Linked DNA regions of Sus scrofa. The protein of the gene in region 2 purifies or fractionates together with the protein of the main gene of each other region. This does not show direct contact. Links are inferred from orthologs where the notes say so. Each region holds a gene or a part of one and is shown on either strand. Other genes may lie near its edges.

Region 1 (5,275 bases), on a different chromosome or scaffold from region 2:
ATCTCTGTAAAATTCTGTGGGAATGTTCACCCAAAACACTGTCTGAGTCAGAAACTAGCTATAAAGAACTTATAAGTAGCCCTGAAGTCTAGGTCAGATCCTGTAGATTACAATGCAGTCACACTTCATCTGTCTCCTTAAGTAATACTTGTTTAGTGCTTGTGCTGTTTAAAAGTTTTGTGCATTGTCTTTATTATCTTTCTCATACTATTAGATGGAAAAGTCTTGTAGGAAAGTGGGCAAGCCTAAGAGGTTTAGAAAACAACCCAAACATAAGCCAATATTGAAGAGAAACTGTTTAGTAATCCAAAGAGACAATATGAGGAGTTCCCATTGTGGCTCAGCAGGTTAAGGACCCAACATAGTCTCCAGAGGATGCAGTCTGATCTCTGGCCTCAATCAGGGGGTTAAGGATCCAACCTTGCAGCAAGCTGCAGACTAGGTCGCAGATGCGGTAGGGATTTTGCCCTGGCTGTGGCAGGCCAGTAGCTACAGCTCGCATTCCACCCCTAGGAACTTAACTTCCATATGCTGAGGGTGGGGCCCTAAAAAGAATAAATAAATAAATAGCAAAGATAAATACAAGGCAAAGATAAATAAATAAAAAGCAAAGGAGTTCTCCTCGTGGCCAGTGGTTAATGAATCCGACTAGGAACCATGAGGTTGCAGATTCGATCCCTGTCCTTGTTCAGTGGGTTAAAGAGCCGGCGTTGCTGTGGCTGTGGCGTAGGCCGGCGGCTACAGCTCTGATTAGACCCCCAGTCTGCGAACCTCCATATGCCGCGAGAGCAGCTCAAGAAAAGGCAAAAAGACAAAAATAAATAAATAAATAAAATTTTTTTAAAAATAAAAAGCGAAGGCAGTACGATGTGAAGGAAAGAATTTGGGGTTGGAAATGAAGAAATCTCATTTCTAGTCCTGTTTCTGTCAATAATAATCTGTTTAACTTTCAGCCTGTCTCCTCTCAGACACTGCGCTTAAGAGGAAAGGAGGGGTATGACCTATACAGCTCAGTTCCACCGTAATACCAAATGAACTTGCTGGCTGATTCGGGAAACTTATTACTAACTGAGGGTGTACTTTTTCCAATTAATGCAACATGAGCTGCTGCCTCAAGCCGTCTTACAACGTCTGGGTTTGTACAGAACTTCACGTTACATACCTCATGCAACAAAGGGCATTTCCCATGTGAAATTTCGCCTATTGAAATTTGTTCTTAATCTTTTTGAGTGTGGACTTCTCCCTTCCACATTTATCCCTACGACAGCTCCATGTGCAACCAAGCTCGTTTTTCACACGAAGTTGAGAAAGGTGAGCACAGTGTGTTTGGAATGAGCCCTTCCTCGCTGGTGGCCCTGGCCCGGCGACAGATACCTCGACCCCTCACCTCTACTTCGGTTCCCCGCCGCATCCTCTGAAGCCCTATACTCCAGACTGACTGCCTATAAGGACGCTGCTGTCACCTACCCCGCTGGGTGGCCGGAACTCGGCCTCACTTTACGCCGTGTAAACAACATCCCCTACCGTCTCCGATCTCGGTGGCAATTCCTTCCTCAGCAGGCGGAAAACAGGTCGTTCCGGCTTCCGGGGCGCTGGAGGAAGTCCGGCCCCACGCAACAGCGTGAGGGGGCGGGTCGCGTCGAGGCGCCGCGCAGGCGCGTAAAGGATTAGGCGATGACGCCACTTCAATGGGCTGCTTACCACTCTGTAGGGTCGACTGGAGGCACGCAGTGTGGGAGGTTATTGCTGCTGTGTCCATGGCGGTGGGGACAGGCCTGGGACCCGTTCAGCAGGGCTTGAGAGAGCAGCTTGTAGACTCCATCTCAAAAAACAACCATATTCTCCCAACGGTGTCCTCCGGGAAATCGAAGCCCCTCTGCCCCCAGCTGTCCTCGTTTCTCGCTTCGCTCCACCTCCCCGTGCCGTTTTTAGTACCTTACTATCATTCGTTTATCAATGTGGGTCCATATCTTGTCGCAGTAATGGCTGTCATTTGCTGCATTGGTTGTGCATCTCACAGCAGTAGCTCATAAGTACCTGGTAATTCTTGACTACTGGACTGATGGAAATTTACTCATCCCTTTACCAAGGACAGGATTGAGCGCCTAAGTAGTCCTGAACTGGACTGTGGCTATGGCACTTTGGGGACCGGGAAGGTAAATTAGAAATTAAAATTGCTGTTGTCCTAGTATCCTAGGCTGTCATAACAGAGTAACACAAATTGAATGGTTTAAAACAACAGATATTTGTTCTCTCACAGTTTTGGAAGATGGAAGTCCGAAAAAAAGGGGTCATCAGGATCGTGTTTCCTGTGAGACTAGGTAAAACCCTTACCTTTTCCTAGTTTCTGGTGTGGTCCATCCCACAATCTTTGGCATTCTTTGGCTTGTAGTTGCCTAATTCCATTCTCTTAACTCTGCTCTAATGGTGTTCTATCTGTGTCTTATTTCTGTTTCATAATTAATCATAATTAAGTTCATTTGTATCGGTTTTTTAGATTCCGCTTATAAGTGATATCATATGATAGTTGTCTTTGACTGACTTCACTTAGTATAATAATCTTTACATCCATCCCGTGTTGCTGCAAAAGGAATTATTTCATTCTTTTTATGTCTGAGTAATATTCTCCCTCCCTCCCTCTCTCTCTCTCTCTCTCTCTCTCTCTCTCTCTCTCTCTCTATATATATATATATATATATATATATATATATTTGGTCTTTTGTCTTTTTAGGGCCACACCCATGGCATATGGAGGTTCCCAGGCGAGGGGTTGAATCGGAGCTGTAGCTGCTGGCCAACACCATAGCCACAGCAACAAGGGATCTGAGCCCAGTCTACGAACTACACCACAGCTCACGGCAATGCCAGATCCTTAACCTACTGAGTGGTGCCAGGGATCAAACCCGAGTCCTTGTGGATACTAGTCGGGTTTGTTAACCACTGAGCCACGACTGGAACTCCGAATATTCTATTGTTTATATGTACCACATCTTTATTCATTCACCTGTGATGGACATTTAGTTGCTTCTAAGTCTTAGCTATTGTAAACAGTGTTGCTGTGAACTTTGGGGTGCATGTATCTTTTTGAACTAGAGATTTCCTCTCTTTTGGATATATGCTGGTAGCAGCATGGGATCTCTGGATTATATGGTAACTCTATTTTTAGTTTTTTAAGCAACCTCCATATTGTTCGCCATAGTGGCTACACCAATTTATATTCCCACCAACAGTGTTGGAGGGTTCCCTTTTCTCCACACCCTCTCCAGCATCTGTTATTTGTAGATTTTTTTGTTGATGCCCATTCTGACTAGTGTGAGATGATACCTCATTGTAATTCAACTTGTATTATTAACATCCCCCCTTAATAGCAAAACCTGACAAAAATAGCACAAGGAAAAAAAAAACCTAGAGACTAAACTCACATAGATACAAAGCTCTGAAGTAAAATATCAGCAAATGCACCGGGGTACTCCATTTGAAACAAGAAAGCATTTATGAAATAATTTAATATTAGAAAATCTGTTGCTATGAATTCTGTTAATAATTTAGAAGTTTAAAACTATATCATCATCTCAACTGATAAAATGTCTTAAAAATTTAATATCTAATTTGACTTCAAAGAGAACACTTTCAGGAGTTCCCACTGTGGTGCAGTGGGTTAAGGCTCCAGCATTGCTGCAGCTGTGGCATAAGTTGCAGCTGCAGCTTGGATTTGATCCCTGGCCTGGCAACGTTCATATGCTGAGGGTGCAGCTGAAAAAGAAAAAAAAAAAAAAAAAAAAAAAAGGAGAGAACACTTTCAGCAAAATGGGAATGGATAAATAGCAACTTGATAAAAGGCACCGGAAGTCTCTAGTAAACATTATACATAGTAAGACACTAGAAACATTCCCATTACTCACTTAAAAAAAAAATTATGACTGCACCCCTGGCACATGGAAGTTCTTGGGCCAGGGATCAAACCTGTGCCTCCACAGTGACCTGCAGTTGGATTCTTAATCCATTGCACCATAGTGGGAACTTGGAGACATTCTCATTAAAGTCAGGAAAAAATGAATACCCACTTTCACTACTAACGTTCAGCATGGTGTTAGACTTTTTAACCAATGCAACAAAACAAGATAAAGACAAGAAAAAAAAATTAGGGAAGGAAGAAGTAAAAACATTATTTTCAGATTATATGATCTTCTTTCTAGACGACGCAGGATAATGAAATGACAAACTAAATGGTTCAGCAAGGTGGCTGAATTCAGTATAGAAACTGAAAGTTTTTGGGGTTCCCGTCATGGCTCAGTGGGTTAAGATCCCGACTAGTATCTGTGATGGATGCAGGTTTGATCCCTGGCCTCAATCAGTGGGTTAAGGATCCTGAGTTGTCACAAGGGGCAGCATAGGTTGCAGATGTGGCTTGGATCTGGCATTCCTGTGACTGTGGTGTAGGCGTGCCGCTGCAGCTCTGATTTGACCCCAGCCTGAAAAAACTTAAAATTTTCTTATGTGCTAGTGATAAAATAGGGTTTAAAAAGGAATCCAATCTGAATACACTGCACAAAAGATGTACAAGACTGTTTATAAGAAATAAGAAGTATTGAAAGGCAGGAAGGACTTAAGTAAACAGAGATATTCATGTTCCAGGATGGGAAAATTTAGCAATTTTAAGATAAAAGTTTATGACAAAAGGTTTTGATACAATGCCTATTAAATGCTGATAGGAACTCCGAAGAGCTTTCTTTGTCCAAAGTATATTATTCTTTTGATACACTCCTGGGTTCCATTTATTGATGTTTTATATAGAATATATCTTATTAGTGAGATTGGTATATAGGATTTTTTTGGTACTACATTAATCAGATGTTGGGATTTAAAATTATATGAGATGCCTTAAAATAAATTAGGAAGCATTTCACATTTTTTCTGTGGTCTGAAGTAATTTAAGTAACTTTAGAACTATCTTTTTTAAGGCTGAACAGAGAGCTCAGCTGTGAAATTATGTTATATGAAGCATTGTTATCTGTGGGTTTTAAGCTACTCTCTTCTACGGTAATTGAATTGCCGATCTTTTCTACTTTTTCTGGGATCAGTTATAATTTATACTTTGCTTGGAATCCATTCATTTCTAAAAGATTTTTCAAATTAGTTGTGTTAGACATAGAATTCTCTTGTGATTTTAAAAATCTGTTCTGCACATGTGGTTGTTTACTTTCTCGTTTCTAACCTTACATATTTTTGCTTTCTTTTTTTCTAAATCAGGCTCACAAGGGATTTGTCCATTTTG
Region 2 (4,681 bases):
GATCATCTAATCTAGTCCTAAGGATTGGAACAATCTCCCCAAAGACTACACAGGGCTGAGAAATAAAGGGGGAGCTCCAGAACCCTGGCCTTTCATTCAAGCATCAACCGTAACAGCTTCACTTTCTCATCTGTTACTTTCTCATCTGTTAAGATTTCATTTGAACAAAGGGTTTCATCACTGAAAGTTTAAAAACACTGATTAGGCCCATCTTCTCATTTTACGGAAAAATAAACTTAGGCCCAGAGAGAAATAGTAAAGGTGATACAGTGGAAAGAACAGAAGCCTTAGGTTCAAATCCCAACCTTGCCTCTAAACTAGCTGTGTGACCTTGAGCAAGTCATTTGACCTCAGGGCCTTAGTTTCCTCACCTGTAAAAAAAAGACAGATTTACAGCACAGACTTCTATAAGATGTGCTATGCGAACAGTGCTAAGCACAGTACTGTATCCAAAAGACGCTCAACAAACATTGGTTCTCTACCCTCACTCCCCATTCAGAGTCACAGAACTAATTAATGATACAATCCGGTGGAAATCCCAGGTCTCTTGGTTTCCAAAACATTGCTTTATTTTTTACACAAGTTTATGGTAACTCTGAACCTTGTCTTTGAACATTTGTCTTTAATAAATAGAGTGTTTTGGGTTTTTATGTCTTTTTAAGGTACTAACGTGGGATGTGGGAAAAATTACTCCACAAAAGCTCCCAAGTCTTAAAGGACTGGTAAACTTACAGTCTGGGGCACCCAAGCCAGAAGAGAATCCAAACCTCAACATACAGTTCAAGATCCAGCAGCTTGCTATTTCAGGTAAGGAGAAGTTTGACTTGCGTTTAAGGGTAATTAGGTTTTGCTGAAGTTAACTATTAGGAGCTTAGAAGGGTAACTGGCATTCACTCTGTAGAAAGAGCAGCAGCTCTCATATGCCTTTCACTCTGCTGTGGGTGGTTTGGAGAGCACCTTATTTCACACAGCTTGCCTTCACCCCTACCCTCAACAAGCACAAAGAAAGGAGTCACTCATACTCATAGAAAGTAGAATTATCCTTAAAAAGACATTCCTTGCCTACATGGGAATCTGAGCTAAAACCATACCCCCATAGTGTCATAATCTATGAATGGTAGAAGAAACATTGCTTCCAAATGGTAGAAGGGGAGTTCTCGTTGCAGTTCAACTGTAGGGAACCCAGCTAGTATTGTTGAGGATGAGGGTTTGATCCCTGGCCTTATTCAGTGGGTTAAATATCCGGCGTTGCCATGAGCTGTGGTGTAGGTCGCAGATATGGCTCAGATCTTGCATTGCTGTGGCTGTGGCGAAGGCTGGCAGCTGCAGCTCTGATTTGATTCCTAGCCTGGGAACCTCCGTATGCTGTGCACATGCCCCTAAAAAGCAACAACAACAACAACAAATGGTAGAAAGGATACTAGTTAATGTCACATTGACTTTGTGGTAAACTGTTTGCTAAGCAAATATTGTATCAGTTTGTGTGGGCAGGATAGTAATTTATTCTTCTCCTTACCTATTCTTTTGACACAGGCTTAAAAGTAAACCGTTTGGACATGTATGGGGAGAAATATAAGCCATTTAAAGGAGTCAAATATGTCACGAAAGCTGGAAAGTTCCAAGTGAGGACATGAGAAGAGGCCAAAATTCCTCAAGATGTGTGTTTTCCAAGTGTCATTACAGTTTATTACTATTAGGTATCAATTGGGTGGGAATACATATTCTAGTTAAAGCATATGTGTCGAGCCACACATCGCTGATAACAAAGTTGCTCAGTAATCAGTGTAGGGTTCTTAAGGAGCATTAAGCTAAGGAAACTTTTGAATGACTTAGCTTATTTGTATCTTTTCACTTAGGAAAATTTTGGAGGCAACTTCCTCCATAGGGAGGCACCAGCTGGAGGCTGCACATTTTAACAGTAAAGGCAAGAGTCTACAAGTGGTAACCTCTCTCCTAAAACAATGAACTGGTCTCAGCCAGCAGGAGCTGTCTTAGTCTGTAATGTCATATATCAAGTGCAGCTAAATGTCTCACTTGATCCTAGCCATCCCAAATCAGCATCTGTCCCAACAAAGGAAAAATTCCCCCCACCCCAAAAAGTTTACAAAAAACTGCCTCTTTGAGTGTTTGCCTTATTCACCTTTTCACTTGTGCCATTAAGCAAGCACTGTAGCAAAAGCCACTCCACATGGCCCTGGCAGGGAACACTGCTGCTCCATGCTCCATTCTCACTGTACTTGGTATTGTATTTTTTATAAATAAGATTTTTTATTAAAGCTCAGATTTTGATTTACAGGGACCTTGCTGCAGTAAGTTCCATCTCAGTTTTATGTCACTTGGTTCAGCTGTTAGCATAGTAAAGATCATTTGTATCAAAGGGGCAAATGCTTTAAGGGAATAAAAGGGAACACTACTTCTGCTTTTAGGAACTTAGTGCAAGCACAAGTATTTGGGATTTTAAGCAAATTAATGTATAAAAGAGAAACTGAAGTGAGCCTTTGCCATCTTCATGTTTTATAAAGCTTATCCAGTACCACTTAACCTAGTTAGCCTCAAGGCCTCATGTCCTGTTCAGCTAAAGTTAGAAAACATGCCTGCCTATCATCTATCTTTTTTTTACTCTTTGATCCTTTTGTTGTTGTTCTGTTGTTTGCCTATTCCTTGTCTTCAGGGGAACTCCCTTTTCCTATTGTGTGCTTCTCAAAACTATAGTTAGTAGACTCCTTCCTGAATCTATTGTAATTTTCACACCAGTACTTTGAACCTTAATGTCTCTACTGTACTGACAAGAGTATGTGTACGTACATTGTAATGAGGTGGAAACAAAATCTTCAGTAACATTGATAAACCTGCATTGATCTTCATGGTTGGCAAGTCAGTCTACAACTGTTATCATTTCATTTAACTCGACTGACTTAGAAGTCCTTACCCAGTTATTTTGTTTCATCAGACCTAAAGAATGGAGAAAGTGAAGATACAAGTGTTTGTTCTTACTTACACTATTAGTTTTCTTCTCCTTGTAACTCCATTCTTTACCTTCTTCTCAACTTATAACTCCCTTTCCCTTATCATGCTAACAGTAGCGCCTACACTCATCCCGTTCTGCTGTCACGGCTAGTGGTTGGTGCTATACAGGGAGCCCACTGTACAGCGGCATTCGTAACCTTTGCCTGCCTAGCGCACCCAGCCCACCTTTCAGCTAATTAGATCACTTTTTGCAGCTTTGCAGTTTCTAGAGTAACCAATATCAGCTTGGCAGCTAAAATCAAGATGTTGACAAATATCTATTCCTTTTGCCTGTAAGATTGGTTACCTGGTTCAGTTGCTTTTCATTTTTACTGTCTTCCTTTTCACAGTTCATACCTCAAAAGAACAGTCAATACATTTGCTTTTCTTTCTGCAGAACCCCTTATCTCAACCTTCCATATATGGACTGTCTAATTTTCTTTCTGTGCTTTCTTCTCATATGCAAGCAGACTGTATGCCAAGAGTCCCTTGCCCCTAGCAATTTCTGTTAAAATTTTCAAGTAGCCTGTTTCCTTTTACAATTAAATTATTGTATTTATTAATTTGATTGAATCCAGTAAGTCCTTTCTCTAGTCCTGGCCATACTGTCAATAAAATGATGAAAGTAATAAGTTGATTTTTTCACTTGACTGTTAATTGAGCATTCTCAGATGGGCATGCCTCAGTGTTAGCACAGGCTGAACATGATCACATATTTCCAATCATCACACAAGGTGCGAGGGTTGCTGCAAAGCACTTCCAAGTGCTGCTCTCTTAACCTCATTATGTTAACAGCCCTGTATACTTTCTCTCAGCATCACCCTCTAGCCACAGACTTAACAAAAAGTGTTCAAAGCTACTCTCCTTACCACCCCCTACTAATAACAAAAACCCATGAATACTTTTGTAGTATTGAAATATTTTTTCAAGAATAGAATTCCACATAATCCCAGAATAGCCCCGTTTTCCAAATTCTTAAAGGAGTACAATCCAAGGGCTTATTTTCTGCATAAAGGATTTACCATCATTTTATTCAAAGGGAATTCATGTGATGGGTTTATTCCTTAAGTGATGCTACAGAAGAATCCTTGGAAGATACTGGTCCTGTTGTCCTTAGAATCATCTGACTTGAGAAAACAAACCATAATGCAGCACGAAGGCAGCACCAGTGAACATGCGGTAAGTTGCAAGAAGACGACCCTGAGTACTATTTTCACATGTTGCTGAGCTAATTCAATAGCCTTAGACATCTCCCTTTAACTCAGATAGGTGGACTCTGCTCCCTCGTCAGCAGCTTTTCCAAGTTAAAGTAGTTACAAATGGAGTCCGCAGTACTATCACACTTAAAGATACTTATCCCTTTTACATCTAGAAAATCAGGCAAAAACAGGTACTTCAAGTACCTGTTCCTACTCTTAGAGCTTCCTCAAGCAAGAAGAGGAACATGTCCCCAAAAGGCAAGCTTTGCCTCATAGTTCTGGTAGATCCCTGATAACCCTATTGTTCTCCATTGGGCTTTGGAATATGAAACCTAGACCTGTGACATTCCTGCACATGTAACAGCTTTAGCTTCTTAGGGTATAGATATGCCCTCCACATATAGTTAGAATCTTCTAAGAAAGACTGCTTCAACCAGGGGATGAGCCCTGTCATCTGGCTGCTTTCCTCTTACTAT

The links. The genes of interacting proteins can lie anywhere in the genome.
Region 1: the proteins of AP3M1 (region 2) and AP3B2 purify together in Homo sapiens (co-immunoprecipitation; 3 studies listed by BioGRID and IntAct, counting the BioPlex papers as one, with this or other methods). This does not show direct contact. The link is inferred for Sus scrofa from reciprocal best matches to the Homo sapiens genes AP3M1 and AP3B2.

The regions. Positions count from the first base shown.
Region 1 is NC_010449.5:52,201,048-52,206,322, forward strand, and holds the start of AP3B2 (AP-3 complex subunit beta-2), read left to right. Parts: upstream 1-1,601; 5' UTR 1,602-1,739; exon of another isoform or gene 1,740-2,156; intron 2,157-2,260; 5' UTR 2,261-2,321; intron 2,322-5,275.
Region 2 is NC_010456.5:76,812,115-76,816,795, reverse strand, and holds the end of AP3M1 (AP-3 complex subunit mu-1), read left to right. Parts: intron 1-662; coding exon 663-807; intron 808-1,533; coding exon 1,534-1,634; 3' UTR 1,635-3,633; downstream 3,634-4,681. UniProt on the Homo sapiens protein: Part of the AP-3 complex, an adaptor-related complex which is not clathrin-associated. The complex is associated with the Golgi region as well as more peripheral structures.